Linked DNA regions of Rattus norvegicus. The protein of the gene in region 5 purifies or fractionates together with the protein of the main gene of each other region. This does not show direct contact. Links are inferred from orthologs where the notes say so. Each region holds a gene or a part of one and is shown on either strand. Other genes may lie near its edges.

Evidence for each region.
Region 1: the proteins of Rab7a (region 5) and Arl8b purify together in Homo sapiens (affinity purification with mass spectrometry; 4 studies listed by BioGRID and IntAct, with this or other methods). This does not show direct contact. The link is inferred for Rattus norvegicus from reciprocal best matches to the Homo sapiens genes RAB7A and ARL8B.
Region 2: the proteins of Rab7a (region 5) and Plekhm1 purify together in Homo sapiens (affinity purification with western blotting; 5 studies listed by BioGRID and IntAct, with this or other methods). This does not show direct contact. The link is inferred for Rattus norvegicus from reciprocal best matches to the Homo sapiens genes RAB7A and PLEKHM1.
Region 3: the proteins of Rab7a (region 5) and Vdac1 purify together in Homo sapiens (affinity purification with mass spectrometry; 3 studies listed by BioGRID and IntAct, with this or other methods). This does not show direct contact. The link is inferred for Rattus norvegicus from reciprocal best matches to the Homo sapiens genes RAB7A and VDAC1.
Region 4: the proteins of Rab7a (region 5) and Gdi1 purify together in Homo sapiens (affinity purification with mass spectrometry; 4 studies listed by BioGRID and IntAct, counting the BioPlex papers as one, with this or other methods). This does not show direct contact. The link is inferred for Rattus norvegicus from reciprocal best matches to the Homo sapiens genes RAB7A and GDI1.

What each region holds. Positions count from the first base shown.
Region 1 is NC_086022.1:143,302,760-143,307,816, reverse strand, and holds the start of Arl8b (ADP-ribosylation factor-like protein 8B), read right to left. Parts: upstream 3,187-5,057; 5' UTR 3,004-3,186; coding exon 2,881-3,003; intron 1-2,880. UniProt on the Homo sapiens protein: Small GTPase which cycles between active GTP-bound and inactive GDP-bound states.
Region 2 is NC_086028.1:88,859,273-88,864,035, forward strand, and holds the start of Plekhm1 (pleckstrin homology domain-containing family M member 1), read right to left. Parts: upstream 3,187-4,763; 5' UTR 3,131-3,186; intron 1-3,130. UniProt on the Homo sapiens protein: Acts as a multivalent adapter protein that regulates Rab7-dependent and HOPS complex-dependent fusion events in the endolysosomal system and couples autophagic and the endocytic trafficking pathways.
Region 3 is NC_086028.1:37,031,315-37,036,394, forward strand, and holds the start of Vdac1 (voltage-dependent anion-selective channel protein 1), read left to right. Parts: upstream 1-1,894; 5' UTR 1,895-1,957; intron 1,958-5,080. UniProt on the Homo sapiens protein: Non-selective voltage-gated ion channel that mediates the transport of anions and cations through the mitochondrion outer membrane and plasma membrane.
Region 4 is NC_086039.1:157,237,297-157,242,085, reverse strand, and holds the start of Gdi1 (rab GDP dissociation inhibitor alpha), read right to left. Parts: upstream 3,187-4,789; 5' UTR 3,063-3,186; coding exon 3,018-3,062; intron 1,850-3,017; coding exon 1,742-1,849; intron 1,583-1,741; coding exon 1,483-1,582; intron 1,346-1,482; coding exon 1,211-1,345; intron 800-1,210; coding exon 601-799; intron 347-600; coding exon 215-346; intron 1-214. Other genes in the region: Atp6ap1 (V-type proton ATPase subunit S1 precursor), read right to left, coding at 4,444-4,653. UniProt on the Homo sapiens protein: Regulates the GDP/GTP exchange reaction of most Rab proteins by inhibiting the dissociation of GDP from them, and the subsequent binding of GTP to them. Promotes the dissociation of GDP-bound Rab proteins from the membrane and inhibits their activation.
Region 5 is NC_086022.1:122,061,175-122,066,247, reverse strand, and holds the start of Rab7a (ras-related protein Rab-7a), read left to right. Parts: upstream 1-2,062; 5' UTR 2,063-2,222; intron 2,223-5,073.

The DNA of each region.
Region 1 (5,057 bases), about 21 Mb from region 5:
TTTTAGCAGTAGTAAACTTATCCTTGGACTAACTTCAATTAATCACAATTTGAAGAAATATACACTTTTATAACACTATCCATTTATAAGATACATAATGTTTACAAGAGTTTACCTTATAATAATTTGCAATTACATATTTCTTAGTAAACATACTGTGACCCATCTAAGTGTCCCAGTAAATGATTACTCAACAAAACATTACATTACACATATAGGACACATGACTGATTACACAACTGCACCAACATTAACACAGTAACTAGACATATTTCATTTCTATCATATCAGAAAATTAAAGTCTAGAGGTGTTTCAATACCATCCAGAACAAATGACAATACTCTGCACCTCATGTCTCTCAATAAACAAGGTGCCATCTCAGGTTTAAAAGCATCAGAGAAACTGAGAATCTTTGTTCTTGAACAGAACAACTTTTGGACCAAGCCCCACATAAAAGAAAGTAAGCTTCCCAATCTTTGTAAAGTCCTCCACTTTTTAGGTAGATGCAGGGACTTTAGATAAAATGTTTATAATCCCTCCACCTGGGAGAGTTGGGCGGGTGGCTTTCCAAGTGTTTGCCAACCCAGATTACCTGATGAGTTCAAGGACAGAGGGCTGCAGAGTGAAACTCTCTCAAAAGAACAAAGACTGGATGAGAGACAAGTTAAGCTAGTAGTATCTAAGGAGTCAGCCCCTTCCTCAGCATTTTAAACCCCACTGCCAACTTACAGTCTAGCCTTTTTTCTTCTTCCCTAAATTATTTTTTCTTCTTAGTATGTGTGTTGGGCGGGGTTCAGATGTGGATCAGACTTCCAACTATCATTCTGCCTCAGCCTCTTAAATGCTGGAATTACAGGTAAGCATCACCAACCATGTCTTGGGTGTTAACATTTTTAATTGACAGACCATAATTATGTATGTGTGTATGTGGGGGATAATGTAACATTTTATGATATAGAGAATTTGGAATGATTAAAATGAGTTAAACATAGCCTCTCTTTTTTGTGGGATCTTTTCTTAACAGAGACTATCTCCATCATATAGTCTAATATTGACGGATAACAGAGGGTCACTAACTTCAACAGCACTGCTGACATTTGATAGTTGTTAAAATGAATCTAATTCAGAAGGGAGGGGGGCTTAAGAAGCTTCCTTCCCAAGAGCCATAAATCTGCAACTGCCGACCACACTGGCCTGAGAGTCAAAGGAAACGAGGCCTGCTCCGTCCTTTCTCAATGTATTTTCCATGTACCTGCTTTGGGTAGTACAGCCACTAGAGATATCTACATGTTATCACTTCCCTACTCCTCCTGGTAAGCCCTTAGAGCAACTCTCTTAAGAAATCTATTGTTATCTGCACTTCATAGATCAGAAAACCACAATCGACTCAACCAGACCCAAGGCTGCTAAGTGGCAGATCCAGATTTCAAATCCAGGACTGCTTGGCATAAAAGTTCGGGTTTGTTGTATCAAGCTACACTGTCTAGTGATAATATATGCACAAAAGTAAGCAGTATGTCTCTTGAATTCTACTCATTGATGCAGGTTCTTGCATTAACTCCTCCTCCACAGCAAATACAAGTGACCATACCAACACACCCACGATTACCAATTCAATCTTGTCGAGGAGACAGGACTGCCAAGGAATTGCCAATTCTTATCTTGGTTATATAAAACGAACAGCTCGAAGTCTATATAAAAGTCCTGGTATGAAAGAAAGCCTGAAGTTTGTTCTGCCTTATTCTCTTGGGGTGTGGGTGGGGGCAATATAGAAAGAGCCCAACACGAAGCATAGGCATTTCCCTCATAGTTATATTCAGCCATCTTCGAAAAGAAATTTTGAGTCTCTGCTCCTGTCTTTCACGCCTGTTGCTCTATTACTGCAGGGACTGAGTCACAAGTTACCTAGTTTCTCCCATGGCAGTGTGCAGCCAAACCAGTCTGGCAGCTCAGCTGTCTCTTGTGTGAGGATTCCAACAAGCCTCTTGAAGGTCTGAGAACTGCGGCCACTTCTCATCGGAACAACTGTAAAGTGCAACCCTCTAAGTACAGCCCTAAGACTGTGCAACGACTCCTCAGCTCCAAAGACTGACATTCACTCCCATTCCTTCCCCCGACGCAAACTCAAACAACCACTCTCCCACTGAATTAACCACCACATTATATTTAAGTGTATTTAATCTCCAAGCAATTTCCCCGAGCCTGCATAAGCTACGCCCCAATCCAAACAAATTCCTTCTCTAGGAGGAAAAAAAAATCTCTCTAAAGACCAAACCCTGCAGGATAGTTAACTTTATGTTGAACGCAGATCCATCTATCCGCCCGTTTAACACAATCACTCTGGAGAAACAGAGACTCGCCTCGCCCTTACTCCCTGCCTTAATAAATACTGGGATCTGGATGGTCACGCCAACAGTTTCCATCAGTTTGATCTCTGACTCTCCGTGGACCAGTGACAAAGACCAAGCGAACTGGAGGCGCCAAGGCTCCCCCTGGCATTCACAGATGCGCCCACACCGGTTGCCTGCTTTCACAATGCGGCTCCTTCGTCCCAAGTGGAGATTTCAGAGAGGCTTCCCGGCCGCAGGCGTTCTGGAAAAGGCCGAGCTCACCCGTCCGGATGAGCAAGTGACAGGTTGGAATTAACCCTTCAGCCTCCACAGCCCGAAAGGCGGCAACTGTGACAGACTCGGATTAACTCTTTCCAGGCCGCCTTAAAGACACAGCCCCCCACCAAAACGCAATGTGGAATTGACCCTCCGGCGCTGACCCTCCGGCTAAAACCTCCCAGGCCCACACCCAAAGGATCGCACGGCCCGGCCCTCAGGGAGGTGACAGGCCCCGGACGCCCGCCAGGCCGACCTCATAGGGCTGCTCACCGCGATGACATTGACGAAAGTGGTCTTGCCAGAGTACTGCAGCCCCACCAGCGTCAGTTCCATCTCCTCCTTCCAGAAGAGCGAGCGGAACCAGTCCAGCAGGCGGGAGATGAGCGCCAGCATGGCGGCGGCCGGCAGCGAGCGGGGACGGGCGCGGACGACGACAGACACTGCTTCCCACGAGCGGGTATCGGCCCGGAACCCGCCAACGGCTCTTCAGCGGGCCCCCCGGCGCGACTCGGGTAGACACAGATAGGAGGCTGCGACGGCCGGAGCCAGGAAGCCCAGCGGGTCATATGATTCGCCCTACCCCCCCCACGCCCAGCCCTGCGCAGCCGCGGAAGCACACGGCAAGAACGGCGAGGTCCCATAGACTCCGAGCGCCCGCCGGCGACATCGCCACCTGGTGGTGCGTCCCAAGGCACAGTGTCATCGCCTTGGTGTCAATTCACTTTGTCACATGTTTTTTCTCTTTCATGGTGGGTTCATTCACCATTTTTTTTTTCCCAACTTATTGGGCTCCTCACAGTCGCAGGCCAAGGATTTCAGTACTAGAGAGGTGTAGGCAGGAGGATCAGAAGTTCAAAAAGCAAAAACGGTAGTGTTACAGAAATGACTCGGAGGTTAAAGGGCTTGCTGCTCTTTCGGTGGACCGGAGAGTTCAGGACCCAGCACACACAGTCTGGCAGCCCTCAACAACTTGAGCTCTGAGGGGGGGGGGGGGGGGGGGGGGGCAGATCCAGGGCTTTCTGACCTCCGTCGTACACTCTGCAAGCACGTGCACATACTCCCACAACAAAACACATAAATCATAATAATCTTAAAAAAAAAAAAAGAGTTGGGGCTTGAGAGATGGCTCTATGGTTAAGAGCACAGACTGCAGTTCAATTCCCAGCAACCACTTGGTGACTCACAACCATCTGTAATGGCATCTGATGCCCTCTTCTGGTGTGTCTGAAGACAGCAACAGTATACTCACATTAAATTAATTAACTTTTTAAAAGAGTTGGTCCTCATTCACTTATTGACTGAATTTTTCTATAATTGTTTGTTGACAATGTACCCTGAAAGAAAATGTTAATACTCTGAGTAGTTGAACACGGAATAAAAAAAAATCAGAATTTGGGTTGGGATGTAGCCCAGTGGTAGAATGCTTGCCTGGCATGTATTGAAGCACTGGGTTCTGGGGAGGTTGGAGGGGGTGGGGGGCAGGGAGTGATCAGGAGGCAAAGTGAATAAATTAATTCATGGGAAAAAATTCTTTCCCAGCACGTAAAAGACATGGGGTTCGTTTCTAGCACAGCAAAACAATAGTAACAGCAAAATCCCTGCCCTCCTCTGGCTTACAGTCCAGTGTGGAGAACATACAGCAAACAGAGGAGAAAATGCTTCATGGTACTTCACGTTGTAAAGAAAACTGAAGAGGAACAAAGAAGAAGCTGGAACAGATTCTCTTGTCTTTAAGTCAGGTGGTCCTGAGTGGAAAGGCTTGAGGGAAGTGAGAAGGAGAAGCAGGCTGACCTTTGGTAGAAGCACATTCCAGGAAAAGACCCTGAATGGGGAAGGACAGTGAAGTGGTTTGGAGGTTGAAAGACGGTGTGCCGGAGGCAAGGGGGAAATGATGGAATTATATTTTAATTGAAAATATTTTTTTAAAAAGACACTCCGGCTGACTGCCCCAACTTCCCCAGTTGATATCTGCTTCGTATTTGTAAACCTCTAACTTGATGCTTTCTTGTTTAGCTCTCTCAACCAACTACTCTAGTCGCCTCTGCTGGATGTTGTGAGCTTGCTATTTGGTAGAGCCTGGCTACCTATCGCTACTTGCTATTTATTCTTTTACTTTTATTTGCTGTGTACTTAATAAGTACATTCATTTAAAGCCAAAAATGCAGCCAAAAGTTTATTCTTGGAACAATACAAAACACTGGCGTAGATCAGTGAAACCTGGAGTGGGGAGAGGTAGAAAGAAAATTCAGGGACAGGGGGAGTGGGACACGGGGCCCTAGTTTGGATTTGATGATAGAAGATGGGAAGCCAGGAGGTAACCTGAAGATTTAATTGTTTTTATTGTATGTGTGATTTTTCCTGCAGGTGTCTCTTTGCACCACATCCCTGCCTTACCTGAGAAAACGAGAACACATTGTATCCTCTGGAACTGGAGTTACAGACAGACA
Region 2 (4,763 bases), on a different chromosome or scaffold from region 5:
GATAGGTAGGGGTAAGAATAGGGTTAGGGGTATAGGTAGGATTTGGGGTGGGGATGGGGTAAAAAGAACAAGCTTCTGAAGCAGGAACTTCAAATTAAAAGCTGCTGGAGGATGAGAGACTAGATCAAACACGAGGGTGGGTGAGGGCATCTGTCCCCGCTGGGCACATTTTCCCTCCAACTTGCCTTTCACCCAATACCACCATCTCTCCCACAGTCCTGTTTCACACAGAATAGGATTCTTCCTTCTACCCTGTTTTGGTTTTGTTTTGTTTTTTAAGGACAAGACCTTTGCTGTGTAGCCCAGGCTGGCCTTGACTTCCAGCAATCTTTCAAGTTTCTCCTTCCTCAACAAAGAGATTACAAAGCCTGGCCAACTATGCCTGGCTTTCAGATTCCCCTTCGGCAGTGCGCTCCCACTGAGGTCTATCTCTGGTCCTGAACTCTTTCTTTTTTTTTTTTTTTTTGGGTTCTTTTTTTCGGAGCTGGGGACCGAACCCAGGGCCTTGCGCTTCCTAGGCAAGCGCTCTACCACTGAGCTAAATCCCCAACCCCCTGAACTCTTTCTTTTTGAGCAAGATCTTGCTATGTAGCATAAACTGACCTTGGACTTAGAATGTAGCCCAGGAAGGCCTTAAACTCCTTGGGAAAGCTTTGAACTCTCATCTTCAGTCTCCTGGGCACCTGTGGTTACATGTGGGTAGCATTGTATCTGGCTTTGCTATAGGAGTCTAAAGACGTGTATACTCTGAATGAATGAAAACAAGAACTTTGAAGAACTCATTCACCACTCTGTTTCTAGGACTAGTACGCAAAATATCAAAAAGAAAAAAAATAGATAACAAGCCCAACTCCTGAATAATTTAATAGATAAAGGCGAGGCATATAGAACAGGTACATCTACTCGACAGACTGTGGGAAGCTGAGGCACAGCACTTTACACTACTAAGAAACTTTTGCCACTCTGAAGGTTGCATTGTTAGGAGAGGCGATTAAAGGCAGAACTGCACTCAGCCTTCACAGAAGGAGACTACTGTGGCAGTGATGGTGTCTCAGGCCCCTTTATAATTGCTGATAGGGCTTCAAGTGTAGCTCAGTGGTTGAATACTTGCCTAACCTATACAAGGTCCTGGACTGAATCTCCATCACTGGGAGTGGGTATGGGAAGAGGCAAGAGGCTGCCACCAAAGACGGTTGACTCTCCTAATCGAGCCACTTAGAACTTGGAGGAAATGTATTTAAAAAAAAAAAAAAAAAAAAAAAAAAAAGCTGCATCAAGGACCTTAAAGACCCATATGCCTCAACTACTGAATTCACCTTTACATGTTCCTACAAACCCCAGTGGCTAAGACTAAATGATCTTGGGCCTACAAAATAGGGCAATTTTACAGCCCCTGTACCTAATCCTTCAACCTCTCCAGGACTCTTCATGACTTAGAACATGCTTCTGATGGCCATTATGTCTCTGGGTTCAATAATGGGAAAGATCTGCAGTCAGCTATGCAGAAAGGAACACCGGGAGGATTCTTCCTCACAGGTGCTAGGACACACGGGAAGGACTCTGTGATCACAACCAACTCCACCGTGCTCCTTGAGGCTCTCTACTGACAAAACACCAGTCAGCCAAAAGGAAGGGCTGGTTTCCATTACCCCAGGATGAATGAGATGGATGAGTGGTCACCTCATACCTTCCAGGTATTTGAATGACACCTAGGATTACAACAGCAGGCACAAATGATTTAATAGGAATCCCAGAAAAGCCATCAGTGGAAACACATTCAGGAGATCAGACACCAGGAAGAGCTCCCCCAAAAAGCTCTGGAGTAAGCTCTATACTCAGGTACCGTTTGAGTCCCTACACACACCAATTCGGCCGTTTAGTCTGCTGGGCTCTGTGCAAGGAGCAGACATGGCTGTTGAGGAACACAGCAAGCATGACCAGTAGGGAGCTGGGCCCTAAGTTCTCAAAGTGAAAGAGAGCTGGATGGAGGAAGGAACTGAAGGGAGTTGAGTAGATCTAGTTAATAGTAACTCTGGGAAGCCACACATGGTGACTCATGCCTACAGTTCCAGCACTTGGGAGGTGGAGGCAGGGAGGATCAGGAGTCCATGGCTAGCTTTGGCTACTTGAATTGGCTGTCTCAAAACAAACAATAACAAAAACAAAAAACAAAACCACCCTCCACGCCCACCTTCTGCCCTCCAAACCAAAAGAATAAAAACAGATTAAAACACAAGGGGATCTCTGAGGCCAGCCTGATCTACAGAGTGATTTCATAGAGAGATAAGGCTAGAAACATGCTGTCTCAAAACAAAAACAAAAAACAAACAAACAAAAAAGCCAACAGCAAAACAATGAGATGAATGGGGGTAGGGATATTATCAAAATACATTACATGCATGTATAAAATTCTCAAAGAATTAATGTATATTAAATTTAAAATGACAAAAGGACTGGGGGAAATGGTAGGAACTGAGGCAGCAGAGTCAGGGAGAGTTTATAGAAAGGTCTTAAGTAGGTAAGTGCCAGAGAGAACTTACCTCTGTGATCAGCTAGGAAATGAGGTAAAAGTCAAGTCGGTAAAGAAAAGATACACACAAGACTTGAGATAAAGCTGTGATGTCAGTTATCAAGAAGAAACCGGCAAGTTAAACAGGCGACAACTTTAGTAGTGGGTCAATAGGAGGGAGACAGACCTAGGGTATTTGGGATGAGTGAGCCGGATATGACAAGCTGTGATACGAAATCAGAGCCAGAATGGAGGGTCAAGGGAAAGTTCAGAAGAGTTGAAGGCTAAACATTATGTTGAGATAAGAGGTGGTGGAGGGATGTGGCTCGCTCCAATCCGGTTGCAACTGGGCTAAAGAGGGGTCACGAGTGACACTACACTTTTGCAAGACCGTTGGTTAGGGGGACCCGGCTTAGGGCTGCGGTTGACTGTGGTGGAGACGGAGGGGAGAGACCCGGTGGCCGCTGGCTGAGGTGGAACAGGCCCCAGTAGCTAAGGGCCGAGGTTCCCACCACAAGTCTCAAGGCGCCCAGGGGTCGCGAGCGGCTGCGAGGCTGCAGGCCCACCGCCGGATCGCGTCGCTGCCCCGCGCTCCCCTCCACGTCCAGACCCTAGACTCACCAAAGGGAGCAGGAGCAGGTGGCGGAGCTCCAGGCAAAGCGAAACGCCTCAGTTCGGAGAAAAAGCCGCGGCTCCAGAGGCACTGACAACAGGAAGCGGCGCGCGGCGTCTGACGCCATCACGTCGGCTCGCCGCTACGGCCCCGCCCCAGCCCGCGGAACCAATCACGAGGCCTAGAGGAGCCGAGGGGCGGGGCCGGCAGCTCATCTCCTGCGGGGGCATTGCAGGGGTTCTTGGCTCAAGTAAGCGATTCTGCGGCTCGCGATGCCAGGATTCTGGGTAGCGCAGAGTAGCTGGGCCACTGGAGAGTCGGGACCGCCTGTCTCCCGCAGCTCTGCCCCTTAACCCGGTCTGTGCAACTTTGGAGCTGTGGTTTTTTTGCCCCCTTAAACCGAAGATACGACCTGTGGCGCCATTAACCTGTGTGCTTCCCTAAGGGCATTAGTACTGGAGGGAGCAAGTGGATGCTGGGTTCTGGGTCCAAGCGGGAACCCCTAGGACTGGTTTTCCGGAGCCAGGAAACAGTTGTTTGACTTGTCTTATACCACGTGATCGCCCTGCGGGCTCTCTTGGACCGGTTAGTTTAATTTGCTTGCGGTCAGCCCTTTGAGGCGTGAAGCCCAGAGGGCCTGCTTTTTATCTTCCCACTATTTAATTGCTGTGTTCTTTTACAGAAAATGACAACTGTCTCTCGGAATAGACACGGAAGAAAACTGTCAAATGTGACTAATAAAGGGCAGGGCAGGCAGTGTGCATACTGCACCCTGTGGACTTTGCCCAAAAGGGAATTTAGGGCCTAAATGTGGGCCATAGAGATTGGGACTGTGAAAGGGTGCGTAGTAAATATCTTGCTTCTGTCTGTGCGTTTATATGAGCTTTGCTCATATCGATTTAGAGGGCCTTATTTTCTTGATGTCTTCCATTCCCTATGGCTCCTACACTCTTGGGGTTCCCTGAGGCCTGTGGGGAGGGATTTAAAGAACCCATAAAAGGCTGGGTATTCCAAGGTCTCTCACTCTCAGCAGAATATCTGGCTGTGGGTCTCTGTATTTGTTCCTATCTGCTGCAGAAAGAAGCTTCTTTGATGATGGCTGAACTTATCTATGAGTATAGCAGAGTGTCATTAGAAGCCATTTTATCATTGTCTCTTTTTTTCTTTTTTCTTTTTCTTTCTTTTTTACCAGTTGTGGTTTGAATATACTTGGCCCGTGGGAAGTGGCACTATCAGGAGGCATGGCCTTATTGGAGGAGATGTGGCCTTATTAGAGGAAGTGTGTCACTGTGGAGGTAGGGCCTTGAGGTAATATATATTTGAATATAATAAACTCTGGCCGGTGTGGAAGAGGCAGTCTCTCTTGGTTGCCTTCTAATCAAGGCTCTAAGAATACGCTCCTTCTCCAGCACCAAGCCTATCTGCATGCTGCCACGCTTCCTGTCACTGTGATAATGGACGGGACCTCAAAAACTGTAAAACAGCACCGATTAGATGTTGTCCTTTATAAGAGTTACCTTGGTCATGGTGTCTTTTCACCCTAACCAAGACACCAGTACTACTTGCTTTTACCCTAGGTCCCTGGGCTATCTAGTCTCTGGTTCTTGATCACCCCAATCATGTCGGATATGGGTTCCATCT
Region 3 (5,080 bases), on a different chromosome or scaffold from region 5:
ACAGCTAATGGAGAGGGGACTCTTGAACTTGTGCCCAGGTCCAGGGATACACACAGGTTTTGTGCGTTGGGAGCCGTTAGGGTGATCTTTTCAGCTACTTTGATTCACCTTGTAAATAACTTCAACACAATGGTTTGCCAAAGTAGACTTTGGGTAGAATTCTTTAGTCTGTCATCTGTGCTCTCTCTACAGCAAATAGCTGTCTATGTCTCCCCAGGGAACGTGACACAAGCCACTCACTGAGTCTTAGGTAAGAGCCTTACCACTCCGGTACATCTCCAGACCGTTTCATTCTAAACCAACACTGACACTCCCAGGGTGAGGTTCCGAGAAGCCAGATTTTCTGCTCACCCACGGACACACAGTCAAAAATGGCCCACAAGCTCTCTCGGTGATTGTAAACCCTACCCAGGGCAGCTGGGGAGGCCAGAGAAGGCTACTAGAACTCTTCAGGTACCTTAAAGGTACTTGGAGGATCTTGAACATTGGCTGTCTGCCTCACAGCTGGGCATCAGGGCTCAGGGCCAAGTGTAAGATTCTTGGAGACAAATCTTCCTCGTGTCCCCAGGTCTTGTCCTTCCAACTCTGCCTCCCTGTTGTGACTCAGCAGCTTTTGGTGCCTGGTTTTTAACTCTGGGAGTGGATTGGGTGTTTGTTACAGGGTAGGTGTGCAGACTTGAAAAGCTACGTAAAAACTGTGGTTCTTTGTAATGCAAAGCAAGCTCTAGGCCACCGAGCTTTGTGTCTGCCCACATCCTAGCCCGAAGGGCTTACCCTCATAGTCTAGATCTGGGCTTACGCCCGTTCCCCCAGCCCCCATCAGTTTCCTTCGTTCAGCCCACGGAACAGCATTTTAAATCTGGAGTGGCCGCCAGTGTCCCAGCTGTCTTATTCAGCACAGCAGGTTGTGAGCAACCACCTGACGTCTCCTCTTCTGGACCCCAAATGCCTTGATTCTCTTAGGACGTCTGTCAATTGAAGGCAAAGGGTGTGAAGTCTTCACTCACATGCGATTTCACAAATTCTCCAAGCCTGATTTGGGTTTGGCTTGGTGTGGCACACTGGGAGCCTCAGCAGGGAAGGAGGCCATGCGCTGATGAGACCAGGCTGGGAGAAAGTGACCGTCCGCTCTACACTGCAGGAGAGCAGACATCCAGAACCCGCGTGACCTCCTCATGTAGTGAGACTCCGCAGTCTCACGAAACTCACTTTGTCTTTTCTAATTTCTCAAATGCTTGGGAAATGGCGGAAAGCTGCTTCGACACCAGGGAAAATTGCACGCAAATGTGCAGTGCGGAGCCGGCCCTCGGGAGAGTTTAATTTGCAATTCACTCGCTGACGCACGCGGGCGTGTCGCAGGCTCCGGAAACCCAGTGTAGCGAGGTTGGAGCGCAGAGGACAGTAGCCGCTTTGCCCAATGCAGCGCCACCTTCGGAGCCCAGTGTGTCCCCACTGGGCCTCGGAGTGACTCGCGGCCTCGAGGCTGCGCAGGAGCCACAAGACTCCGGGCGACCCTATTCGCTGAGGTCCTTAGGCCACTGCTCACTGTGCCGGAAACTCCCCTCCCCCTCTTCTCAAATGCTTCCAGCAGCCTGGTGGCTCCAACAGTGACCCGCGTGTCCCCGCGCACGCACACACCTCACGCACGTCAGACCCACGCCTCCCTATCGCCCCGTGCCAAAGTGCACGCAGGCTTTTACGCGCGGTCGCACATGATCACAGAGCCGCAGATGGTGCGAACGCTGCTCCCGGGTGGGAAGAAGACCCCGGGACTGGTCTGGGCGCTGTCCGGGGTGGAGCCGAGGGCGGAGCTTGGAGTCCGGGCGCGCAGAGCTGGGGCGTGTCCGCGCCGTCGCGATCTGCGCCGCCCCGCCCTCGGCCCGTTCCCTGCGCTCCCAGCCTCCTCGCCGCAACCCCCGCCGTAGCTGCCGCTGCTCTCGCCGTCACCGCCTCCGAGGTAGGCGCAGCGGAGAGGGCCCGGGCTATGCCTGGGTCCCCAGGGCCTCGGGCCGCGCTCCTGGGGAGTCTCTAGGGAGGCGATCGAGGGAGGATCGGGCGAGGGCGCCGGGCCTAGGAGCTTAGCCCCGGGAAGGGTGAACCAGGGACGATCATCGCGGGCCTGGAGAGGCAGCGGGCTTGTAGAGGAGGCCTGGAGGGCAGGCGTAGAGCGGATCTCCGGAGGGAGAGATCCTAGCTCGATCTTTCAGAGCGCCTGCATTTGGAAGCGAGGGGCTATCCGAACATGCGAGGGGCGGAAGGGCAAGGGCGGCCGCGTGGAGGCCGGGCGGGCCGCGGGTCTAGGTGACCTTTCCCGGCGGCGCCCTCTGGCTCTAGATCCGGTCGGCATGGATCTGGTAGAGACCCTCCCACGGCCCAAGCCCTTCCCCGCCAGCTCCGAGGGCCTGTGCAGACCCAGCTTCCTTCGCCGAGAGGACGCGCTCCAGGCATGGCCATGCCCTGGATCCCCTGGCCCCTACATGCCTTAACCGGCCCACGCCCGGAGTAGGTGGCGCCGGGTCCCTCCCGTGCATGCTAGTGCCTTCCCGGGCGGAACGGGCTGCCCTGAGTGGACTTAGGCCGCAGGAACAGGGACCTGGGCCTGGACTGAAAGCGAGACCCCATAGGGAGCCATATGCCTGGCCTCCTTGGCCTTAGGGACGGATTCCGTGTTCTGTGTCGCCAAATGCAACTGTGCATTCTGGAAACTGTTTTCAGGGCCTGACATCAGATTGGAGGCCTGCAATTCTACATGGTTTGTCCAAGGTCACACTGGTAGGAAGATCTCAAACTTCAATCTTCTCATCTGCGAAATAGGAGCAATTATATACACTTCACTGAGTTTGGGGGAAGAATAAAATGATCCGATTAATACGAAGCCTTGGGTCATGCACAAGGACACCTTAGAAACCTTGACACTTACCCTAGGAGTCGTAGGAGCTTTGGGGAGGGTTGAACTCAACCTCTGCAGACCTTCCCCCCCCCCCTTTTTTTTGGTTCCACACGGTGTACTGGAAGGGATTCCCTAAATCTACAGTCGTGTTATTTTAACGCCATTGTTACCGTGTCTGTAACAAGCATTTGGGCAGCACCAGGTACTGAATAACTGGAGAATAATTCACCAAACACTGTCTGTTTTCAGACTGACAGCCGTTAAGCTGGAACACTAAATCTGACTGCAGACCCAGAAGATCCAAGGCTCCTCTTTCCTTGACCAGACAGATGAGTGAGGGGCTTTACTCAGTCTTGTTTAATAGTAAGCCAGGCATAGCTACTGAAGGCCTGCCTGTTTTTCTCCAGACTGACAAAACTCTAGGGCCAACTCAGGCTTACCTTTAGGGTCTTGGGTGGGACCACTTGGCACACATTAGGTGGCTAAGAAAGGTCTGTGGGGTAAATTCACTTAAAAAAATGTCTACTTAATGTGTGTGGGTTTTTTTTGCCTTTGTGAGTTTATATATATATATGCAGGTGAACTCAGCCCAGAAGAGGGTGTTGGCTCCTCTGAACTGGAGTTATAGGCAGTTGTGAGCTGTCGCACGTGGGTCTGGGAATTAACTACCAGGTATGGTGGGTGCACATTAAATCGTGGGATCTTAAACACCCATTTGATGACGTAGACCGCTCACTGACTTCTGGAAGCTCTCCTGGCCTAGCAGAGTCAGATATTATAAGAGCTACGACAGTACACGCTCATCTACAGCAGGAATCACGAGGGACGAGAAGCAGCTCCTTTGACATTCTACAACATCCCGAGTCCTCAGGGAACTTGTCAGACTGGTGTTTCTGGGCTTGAAGCTAGAGTGATATGGGTGAATGGGATTCGAGCCAAGGCCTTGGGCCTGTTGTGCTCTCCCCTTTCTGACAAGGTTGTGTGGGTATGACAGCTAGAGTAAGGTGCCTGGCCCCAGTGGTAGTCGAGGGTGCTCACAGGTGATTTGTTTTAGTTCTGATTTCCAGAATGAGGCTTTTTAGACAGGGGTTGTTTGGGACCATGTGGTCCTCATGCTGAAGCTGAGGCAGGTGGAGACTCTGGACTCTTGAGCTGGTGGTAGTAAGGGCTTGCCCCCCCACCCTCCCACCCCCTCATCACTTTGCTCTCTGAGGACCTTTGCTGTTGCTGGAAATCCCCACAGTATGACAGACACCTTCAGTGGTAGTGACTGAGGGAAACATGTGGCCAAAGTGAGGAGGGTAGCCCCTAGGATTCCAGAAAGGTTGTTGTACTGTGTGTGGGGCTTTGTGCTTTCCCCAGGTTCCTGTGGTAGATGGATGGTCTCCATCCCACTGTTAAGTCACAGCATGTGAGCACTTTACTTAGAGCTGAGCTAGAAAAAGTTCCAGAAGGGCAGCCTGGGCTCTCAGTGCTGATCTGACTGACAAGAGCCACAGAGGCTAGCTCAGATGAAGTAGCTTTCTTGTGTCTTAGTTTCTCTGTTATACCGTGGTGGGGTTTTGTTTTAAAGAATTAAATGTTTGGAGGTGGATAGCTCATGTGGAGGTCAGAGGGCAACTTCTGGGCCTCCACCCAGGCCTTGGGATCACCTGGGTCTGCTGTAGAAAGGTGACTGTCATCGCTGGCCATCCTGGTGTTCTGTAGCCCTGCTGGGTGTACTTGGCGCTTAGGCACAAGTTCTCTGCTAGTATCCCCCACACTTCACTGCTGCTGCTTTGAGGAACCCATAGGTGTGAGTGCCCCTGTAAAGCAGAAGTTACTGACTGGTTGGGAATGGAGAGAGGTACACTGCTGCAGGCCGTCTGTAGGGGCAGTGCTTGCAGGAATCGTTTTCCCTGGGGCGAGATGGGAGGTGTTCTTCCAGGACCTGGCCAGATAGTATCTAACTAAACAATACCTCTTTATGGGTGGGGAGGACTCTGGACCCTGTGGTTCAGATTGAGCCTTTAACAAGATGCTCAGAAACCATTATTATAATAGTAAATATACAAAAGGAGAGCTTGGTTTGCTCCCTAGCCATATGGCAACAGAAACTGTCTATTGGACTGGCTCATATGGGACTTAGAATGCAAGCCCAGCATGCAGGAAGCCCTGGGTTTGACCTTCAACACCGGGGAAACTCAGTGT
Region 4 (4,789 bases), on a different chromosome or scaffold from region 5:
TTGGTGTAAACAAGTGCTCTTATCTGCTGAGCCATCTCTCCAACCTCTACTCTGCACTTTAATGCACTAGGGCTATGCCCCCATTACCCAGGGATACAGTAATATACATGAAAATTAGATGGGAAAGTAGGAGATGCCACAAAAATATTCAAGGTAATTTCCATTCTTGGCCTTGTCTTACCAGTAATGCTAGCTGAAAAAGACAGATCCTCACCTGGCAAAGCCCTGAGGCAGCTCACCCAGGCCATAGAGTGGGTACAAATATGGGCTCTTGCCATACCGGGCCAGGGACTCACTGTACAACTTGATGCGGTTAATAGTCTCAAGACATGGCTGATCCAGGTAACTACGGAAAAAGAACCAGGGAATATGCTTTGATAGCAGCACCCTTGTTCATTTACAAAGACACCAGCCAGCCTTCCCACCACCCTTTGTGACCTGGCAAAGATGTGGGTCAAATGGAGAGGGATGGAAATGGAACAGGTGAGCCTGGAGCTGAGTACAAGTGACATGCAGGATGGGCAGTAGGTACAATAGGCAGGTGTGGAGAGGGTGTGAGCCAGACAAGGGGCTCCCATCACCAGCCAGCTTTCCCCTCACTCATCAGTGCGGTAGAGCGCCAGGGCATGGCCAGTGAAATCAATGACATCTTGGCCCAGGTCAAACTTCCGGTAGACATCACGCATGCTGGTGGTCTGCGGGTCAACACCCTCAAAGGTTTTGGGGTCATTCTCATCAAAGTTTGCCACAAACACCAAAAATTTTCGGAAGCGTCGTTTTTCAAACATGCCCATCAGATCTGAAAGAAAGGTATTGAAAAGATCATTTGCATTACTCGGACATAGAGCTCCTCTTTCTAACAGAGCAGGCCAGGAAAATTGGTGCCTTGGCTCCCACCAGAACTCTCTTATGCAACACTGCTCCACCTTTCTTGGTCTCAATTTTCCTATTTGTAGGAAGAGACCCTCCCAGCTCCACTTAGGGCAAGTAGGCCCTTTGACAAAAAAGAATCCTCTTCTGTGAACTTCCTTTCTGGCAACTTGCCAAGATTGGTAGCACTGTCCAATAAAGAAACTATAAAGCAAGGGGCCTCTAGGACTACACGGAGCTAAGATTAGGTTTATGCAAAGAGGAGCCTTTTGCCCAACTGTCCTGAAAACAGTTTGTCCCCTCCAGCCCCATTCTTCTGCTTAAGGAGACTCATACTCACTAGAAGCCAAGGCCTCAGTCTCAGTAGATGGCACTTTGTAGATCTTGCCCCCTTTGTATACAAAGCTGCCCTCTACCACCTTGAAGTCCAGATAACGAGTCACTTCTGTATACAGTAGCATCTTTACCAGCTGACCTGTGTCCAAAGGGAGTAAGGGTGTGTTTTCCTTCAAAAAACTCTCAGTAGTGTGACTGATCATATTCTGGAGATTGAACACCCCATACCCCATCTTCCTACTCACCACCCCCATCGCCCTTTTTAATCTCCCTCACCATTGGCCATGAGGAATTTGGGGATCAAGTCAACATTCCAGTCTCGGCCCCGGCCCATTGATTCAGGGGGCCCTTCCAGCAACTGAAAGCGCTTATATAGCTGTAAGCAGGACAGGAAAGAAAGACAAATGTCAAGGACTAGCTTCCCTTCCCCACTCTCCTGCCTGGGACCTGAGAACTACTTCCCCCCTTTACACCTATGTGGGGGACTAACAAGGGGTCTGGGTCTAAGCCCAAGTCTGAGAATAAGAAATCTTACCTCCTCAAGGGGTGTGATAGAAGAGCTCTCACCCCCATAGTAGGGGTTTCGGTCCATGTGCAACACCTTCTTTCCATTCACAGACATGATGCCAGACAGGATGCATTCCTGGGGAAAGAGTGGCATTGGCAGCTATACCTCATCTACCCTCCAATGAGCATCTCTGATTTGTCCCTGCCTCATGCCCACTACAAAATTCATAATGCAAAGTCCTACCTCTTTCCAGTGCCTAAAACTGGGGAGGGGAAGATAGCTTCATATGATGTTTCCTTTATAACCCTGCTGAGTAAACTACTAGAGCATTAAAGGAGGCTTGGGGGACAGAGCTTACAGTTCTTCTAGCATCAACAAGCCAAAAGTATCTACCTGCTCTGAGCTCACAAAAAGACAAGACAATGAGTCTACAGAAGAAACAATTCAAAGGCTCTTTGAAAGATAAGGCCAAGTCCTTGAAATCCCAGGCTCCACCCTGCTCCTCCTTTTAAGGGCAGGAGCCCCTGACTCTCTTCTGGCTGTGCATCCACTGCTCTAGGCTCAGGGTTCAAACGAAAAAAGATTTGTGCGGGGGGGGGGGGGGGCGACGGGGACACCGGACACTCTCACCAGTCACTGTCACTAACCCAAGGACAAAGGCTGAGGATATATATTCACTCTGAGGTCTCCATGGGAAACCGAATTGGGGTAGAGGGAAAGCGGTCACTAACACCCCCTCCCTACACACCACACACACACACACACACACACACACACACACACACACACTCCCTCCCTCCCTCCCTCCCGCTGTTTCTGGAACATTCCATGGGTTCCCTATCCCTCCCAAAAGGCAGAGAGGCAGGATGAGGGCCCACCCTTGAAAAGCCCCCATATCTTTATCTTCATACTCCATGCCCTAGTGTGATCACAAGATGGTAAAAGATGCTAATCAATTACTTGAGCAGGTGATGAGTGCAGGCGAAGGGTGGGGTTGGATGCAACGGGTCCAGTGTGTGTGAGGGGGGTGAGTTTTCCACCTCAGTGACACAGATAGGGAAGGTGAGGGGTCCGTGGTTAAGATCTAGGGTGCTGGAATACTGGCCAAAGTGGGGCCCTCTACGAAGAATTGCGAACTGGCATCAACACTCTAGGATGAGGTAGTGGGGTGGGCATGGGCTTTTCCAGGGCTGGAGGCAGGAACGCAATGATGGGAGGATGGGTCGGGTAACCCGGACTCTGCATCACTGCGGGGTGGGGGATGGCATGATGCAGGGCTACGAGCGCCTGAGGTGGCACTTACGGTAAGACCTGTCCCCAGCACAATCACATCGTATTCCTCATCCATGGTCAGGCCTTGGTACCAGCGCCCGCTCTTCTTCTCCTCCTCCTCCTTCACCACAGCAGCTGCTACCAATGCCTCTACTGTTGCTGTTGCTGCTGCTGCTGCTGCTGCTGCCGCTGCCGCTGCCGCCGCACTGACCCAAAGATGGCGTCTATCGGTCGTCTCCCGATCCCTACGCAGCGTCAATGAGTCCCTCTCCCTCCTCTGGCCAAGCCACGCCCAACCAAAGCCACCATTTCCTCGCTTGTTTTCTAGGAGGGGTTCTGGCACCTGGGTCCCAGCACCAGAATGATTGCAGGGGTTAACGCGGCTCTCCGTGAGCCCAGAGAAATACGGGGCGGGGCAGGCCGGCGGCAGGTGCTACGTCTAGCGAAGGATCCTTGCGCGGGAGCTGCGCGCGCCCCGCCCCGCCCCGCGCGCTCCCGTACCGCCCCTGGGAGAAACAGAAAGGCATGGAAGCCCTGCAGTGTGTTGTTGCAGCTGGCCCTAGCGCTGGGAGAGCTGCCATTGTCAGGATTCCTCCCATGGCGAGGAAAAGTAACAAGCCTCTTCTCCGGCTTGTTAAGAGTATCGGCTTACTGAAGACCCTCCCACCCTTCCTCTCTCATTTCTTGCCTGACAGGACTACATCTGAGCAGTTCTTCCCTTCAGTCAAGAACAAATCTACTTGTCCAGTGTAGAAATAAGTGGCTGGAGCCCAACACATGGCAACACGTCTTTATTTTATTAGGAATGAAACAACAGAGCACACCCCCCCCACACACACACACACATACTTCTGGCTTCTTGACAGGCAATCCTTGTGAGAACAAACCAGAAACCCAATGAGTACACTTTGTTCTCCAGTTCTCGTGGTGATTTCTTCCTTCTCAGGTCACAGAAATAAACCCCAGTGTACCGCTCATTCTTAACCCCCACCCGCCAAAAAAAAAAAAAAACCCATAAAGGCTAAGCTGGACAGTTAACTAGCCTTTCCACACCTCTCAAATTCAAGGGACCTCAAGTTCATGGCTATTGCTGGAAAGCTCCATAAAGCTTGGGGAGTGAGTATTTACTACACAAAAGCACTATAAACAGCACGAAATAATAGCAGAGGGGCAAGAATAAATAAGGAGAAAGGGAAAGGGGGGCACCCTAGAATTAAGGTCCCTTCCCCTCTTGATGAAGCCTGGAAGATTTATCTATGAAGAATAATACACTTTGTTGGTAGAAGTGGGGGATAGCCTCAGGGAAGTCCCTGTCCAGGAAAGAGGAAGCAAGACAGGCTGAGGGTGGTGTATGTAGGGTTCATGCTATAGTAGGAAGAGGACAAACCTTTCCATCCACTGTGTCACAAAATGGAAACCTAGACACCAATACTCCCTCAATCCCTCTCTGGTATATGTCACACAATCTGGGTCAAAGTGATGGTGGGGCCCTTGTGGTCATCAAAGCGATCCATGGTCTTTAGGCTGAGTATCATGTGCAGACCATAGGTGAATATGAAAAGCATGAAGAGGGTGGTGAGCAGCCCCATCCAGATGCCCGGAGAGAAGAAGCCAGCACAGTCGCTAGCATAGGAGAACTGTTCACCAGTCACATTGAAGGCTTGGATCTAGGAGATACATAGACATGGATCAGATGGGACCACAAGGTTCTACAAACAGTTCAGTGCTGGGATTCTGGAATTAATGAATAGTTATACCTTCAGAGACTATACAAGGATGGAACTCTCTCGGCTACATGCTCAA
Region 5 (5,073 bases):
TAACCTGCATTGCACTAATTACTTAATGGTTTGTTTACTTTCTTAATACACATGAAGGGGTGGGTGGGTGTTGTATGTTTGTGCGCATATAGCGAGGTCAGACTTCAGCGTCCGTGTCCTTTTCAGTTACTTTCTACAAACCCAATACCTGTGGATGGTGAAAGCACACACCTTTAATCCCAGCACTCAGGGCTATACAAAGATACCCCGACTCTCGAAAAACAAAAACAAACAGATGGGTTTTGTATGTTTGATTGTTTTGAGACAGCGTCTAAGTAGCCCCAGCTCACCTTGAACTCTCTTTGTTGACTAGACTGGCCTTGAACTCACAGAGATCTACCAGCCTCTGCCTGCTGAGTGCTAGGGTTAAAGTGCCTCCCAAGTGCTAAGATTAAAGGTGTGGCCCACCACATCTAGCCACTTTTTTTTTTTTTTTTTGGTTCTTTTTTTTTCGGAGCTGGGGACCGAACCCAGGGCCTTGCGCTTCCTAGGTAAGCGCTCTACCACTGAGCTAAATCCCCAGCCCCATCTAGCCACTTTCTACCTAGTTTTTACCCCCCCCCCCTTGTTTTTACATGTATGAGGGTTTTGCCTGAATGTATGTAAGGGCAATGTGTGTATGCAGTGCCCGTGGAGGATAGAATAGAGCATTGGCTCCTCTGTGATTACTCCAGGGGAACTAAAGTCAGAGGAGATGACGAACAGACATAGTTCCTGTTGGGTCTCATGGTTGCCTCCCACTGTCCTCCTCGGGTCAAGTGTGTCACTGCTCTTAGCCACATCCAGCTTTGCTTCCCGACTGCTGGTCTGACTGCCATGTGGAGGCTGATGCTATGCCCAGCGTGAGGTAGTGCCCTATTCTAACAGGGCCTGAATCAGCTTCCACAACTGTGGAGAGTCTGACTCTACCACCAGATTCGTAAGGGTCCTACTTCCCTGTCAAATTTTAATAGATAACCAGACAACTTATATATATTTTTGCCTTGCTTTGTCACTTGTTATTTCTTGAAGATTTCAGTTTGCATATGAATATACAGACTTCCTTTGTTGTCTTAGTTTCAAAGTATTCAATTGAATGGCCAAATAATAGTTAATCCATGATTGAAATTGAGCAAACTTCTCACTATGAGTGTTTATTTAAACTCTATTATAGCAAATGGTGAGGATCTTGGCAGAAAGGTCTTGTCTTCCCCTATTCCTTAGGACCTACAAACCTTTCCTACTCCTTAAACCCACAAGCTAGAGCATGCACCAGAGAAGACTATTCAGACATGGGTGTAAGCTAATAAAGGCGACTGGCTACTGCACTGGGTGTTCAATACTCCAATATAAGTTGAGCCTTTCTCAGGGTGAGCTTTTAAGCATAAAAAACAAAACCCATGTTCTGGGTTAACATACTTCAGTTAACAAGAACTGTTAGCTATAAGCGGAACTATTGAAGTTAAAAAGCAAGGTTAGTACATTTTGAGACTTTCCCAGAACTATAATGGACTTTGATGGATTAGGCCTTTGTTTTAGTTTTGGTGGGTGTGATATCTTTCATGCCTATAAAATCAGTCTGGCATATCGTCAGTTCAGCAACTCCTTAGCTCTTTTTCCATTTTCCTGGATCATCTACCCTGCACAGGTATTCAGTAGTTTCTAGTTCCTCTCTGGGTTCCATTTCTGAGAACACTGTAACTGATCACTTCCAACCACATTAGAGATAGCACCCAGTGGACTTAGAAGACCCTGGACCACACCCTGCCTGACATATGGGTGATTGATTAGCGTGTTCCAAAGGGGGACACTCTCAGAAAGGCTAAGTGACTCTCCCTCAGGGTTGGGGCGTGGGGAGGGAATATTGCATTATCAGTTCTTGGCCCAATATGGTGCGCTCCAGCTTCTGCACGGCCTTCAAAGATGGCAGCCCCCATATAGAAACCGCCATATTTACCCCACCAGGCGCCAGGCTAGGACCTGACGCGACCGGAACGTGACGCAAGGTGGAGGCGGGGCTCCTCCCTCCAACCCTGGCGTCGGGCGTCTCGTGACAGGCACTTCCGCTCGGGGCGGCGGCAGTGGCGGAAGTGGGAGCAAGGCCGGAGCTTTGACCATAAAGCCCAAGGCGGCGGCGTTGGCGACGGTGTTTGGGGCTGGGCAGCTCCGAGGAGCCTGCTGGAGCCGGAGTCGAACCTCTCTGTCGCGGCCTGCGTTGTGTCTCCTCCTCTGTTGACCCTGCGGTGAGCGGCGGGCCCGGGCCGCCCTTCCCCCGCCGTGGCTTGGGCCTCCGGGCCTGGCGTCCTCGGCGAACGCCGAGCTGGGCCGGGCCAGGCGGGGCGGCGCCCGGCGGGCGGAGGTCGGAGGGCGCAGGGTGATCGGCGGGCGGCGAGTACGGGGATCCTTGGGCTGGGCGCGTCCCCGCCGGCTACCTGATGGGTGGGAAGAGGTACCGGCCGGCCACCGAGGCAGCGCTGCCAAGCGCGTCACATGCCCCGGCCGGCCGCCGGCACTGGGAGACAGGAGCTTTTCAGGGTCCTGCAGGGTAAATTCTATTTCCGAAGTTTCAGGAGGAAGGATCTCTCGAGTGCCTTTCAAATAGCCTGGTGTCCTCCTAGCTCATAATCGTGCGGATGTTGAGAGTAACATTGTGAACATTTGAGATTTCTGGTTTGCTGGGCTGCGTGGCAAGACCGCACAGGTTGCCCTGTTCTCCAAACAGCCCTCCGAAGCACGGAGGCAGTGTCCACTTACAGAGAAGAACAGAGAGGTTAAGTCACTCGACCAAGGTCACACCGCCGATAAGTTTCAGAGGGAGAGATTGAAGCATAGGCAGTCAGACTACTTAGCACTTTACTGGCCTCTGGCCTCTTCTCCTCTTGATGCTCCCGAAGCTTGCCACCTGTTATCTGTCCATCAGCACCCCCTCCACCTCCTGTCTAATGATGTTATTTGAGAGCTTCTTGGTCCTACCTTAAAGCCATGTTGTATTTGCAGTTGTGACTTACAAGGCATAATACGGTAGTGACGGTAGTGTACTGTCACCGAACCAGAAGATCTTGAATTCTGGCAAGGTATGTATTGGATTTGAATAGGTTTCCTATGCAGCTCTCTTTGAGTCAGGTCTGGCTTGTCTATCGTGTGTACCTTTCTACAAGAATTTCCTACAACAGCCTAGCTTGTTGACTCTTCACTGTTGAAAATATTGCGTCTTTGGCTTTCCAAAGAATAAACTCTTGTCTCTTTCTTGTTACTTCAGCAGCTGATACGCATGATTAGGTTAATAAAATCTCCTGTTGGTATGTTTCTCTTCTATCTTGGAAATATTGATTCAGAATTGAGTGTACGAGCTGGAAAGTGAATTATTACTACTTCTAAAGCTGGCCAAACTAAAGTTTGGTGTCCTCGGTTGTCTGTAGTTTACTTTGCTGTCCGGCTGGGCTGTAAACCTTTGTGATGTGTGAGTTGAGAAGAGACTGGCATCTCATTTAGGAAATGTTTTTCTTCCATATGTGTGTCAGGCATGACTGGGTTCTGACTCAGGGCTACAGGCATGGATGGGTCTTCCTCAAGGAATTGTAAAAGAATGAGCCTCAGAATAATGACTCGGCCATAGGAGAATCTGGGGCTTCTGCAAAAAGTAGTTTTTGTTTTATTTTATTTTTTTATTCCCTCAGGTGAATCAGATATTCAAATGTGTATTGTTCTGGCTAATAACTTGAAATATTTCCCAACTTTTTGTGTGTGCCTGAGGTTGGTATTGGGTGTTTTACTTAATTACTCCCCTTTTTAATTTTTTTGAAGACAGGATCTTTTCCCTGACCCTGGAGCTTATCCCCTGCTAGCAGGTTAGCCATCAAGCTCACATACACACACACACACACACACACACACACACACACACACACACACCACTCCCCTACCCTTCTCTCTTTTTTTTTTTTTTTTTTTTTTTTTTTTTTTTTTTTTTTTTTTTGATTTAAATGTGGGTCCTGGGGATCTGAACTCAGGTCCTTATACTTGTCCAACAACTGAACTATCCTCAGTCCCCATCTTTGTCAGAATTGGGAACCATGTATTCCTAACCATGTATTTGTATAGTTTGCTCTTGAGAGGGGATCATATTCTGGTGCATGACTGATCACCTCCTTTGAAGAGTAACCATCAACACTAAATTTGATTCCCTTTTTGTTGTAAATGATATTTTCGTCCTCCCTTGAGGGGAAATAGACGCCACTTAGTACAGTGCACTGTAATGTGTGAGCAAAGGCTGGGTTTTCCTTTTTAGCTGACAACAAAGCTTAATGTAGCTGCTGCCAGACTTAGTGAAGCATTCTGGAGAAGACTGGTGTCCTCTGCTTTCCATGGCCCTCGGGTTCCCTCTGCTCAAGGGCCCAGGCTTTATCCACATGAGGATCTGACGGGCGCTCTAAAGGTAGCTTTATTAGTGTGATCTTGCAGGTGATTGCTGGCAAGCACACGGTGACTTTTCTGGTTGTCTTTTTTGGTGTCAGTTGTATCTCATTCAGAGGTCCTGACCCTGTCAGAGTGGCCCTTGTAGGAAAAGAGTTGTGAATCAGTTTCTGGCTCCACCACCAAGTGAGGCAAGAAAGATTGGGCATTGGATGCGCTGTCTTCAAAGAGATCCGCACTGATAGTAATGGTACTGCACATTTGTCAGTAACTTTCCTATGAAAATACGGTGTGCACCCAGTCTCTAAGGTCCAGTTGTCACCTCCTGCCTCTATCCTCCCTGGGGTCTGGCATCAGTCTTTAATGTTTTTCAATGATAAGTCATCTAAGCTCCGTCCAAGTTGGCAAATGTGGCTAAGCTAGATGAGTTCTCCTGGGCAAGTAACTAGGAGATGGCCTCCTACCCTGGGCCAATAGCAGCTCCTCTTTAAAGGGTTCCGAGACCCTTATGTTTTGGGTCCTTCTTTCTGCAACACTGAGCCTTGCTCTTCTTGTTGCTAGCAAGACTCTCACCTGTGCTGAGCTGTGGTCTGGGTGCTGCACTCCCGCAGTTGCTGCAAACATTTTGCAGTGTTTTCTTGCTTGTTATTTATCTTCCTATTGTTCACCTTTTAGAGAACA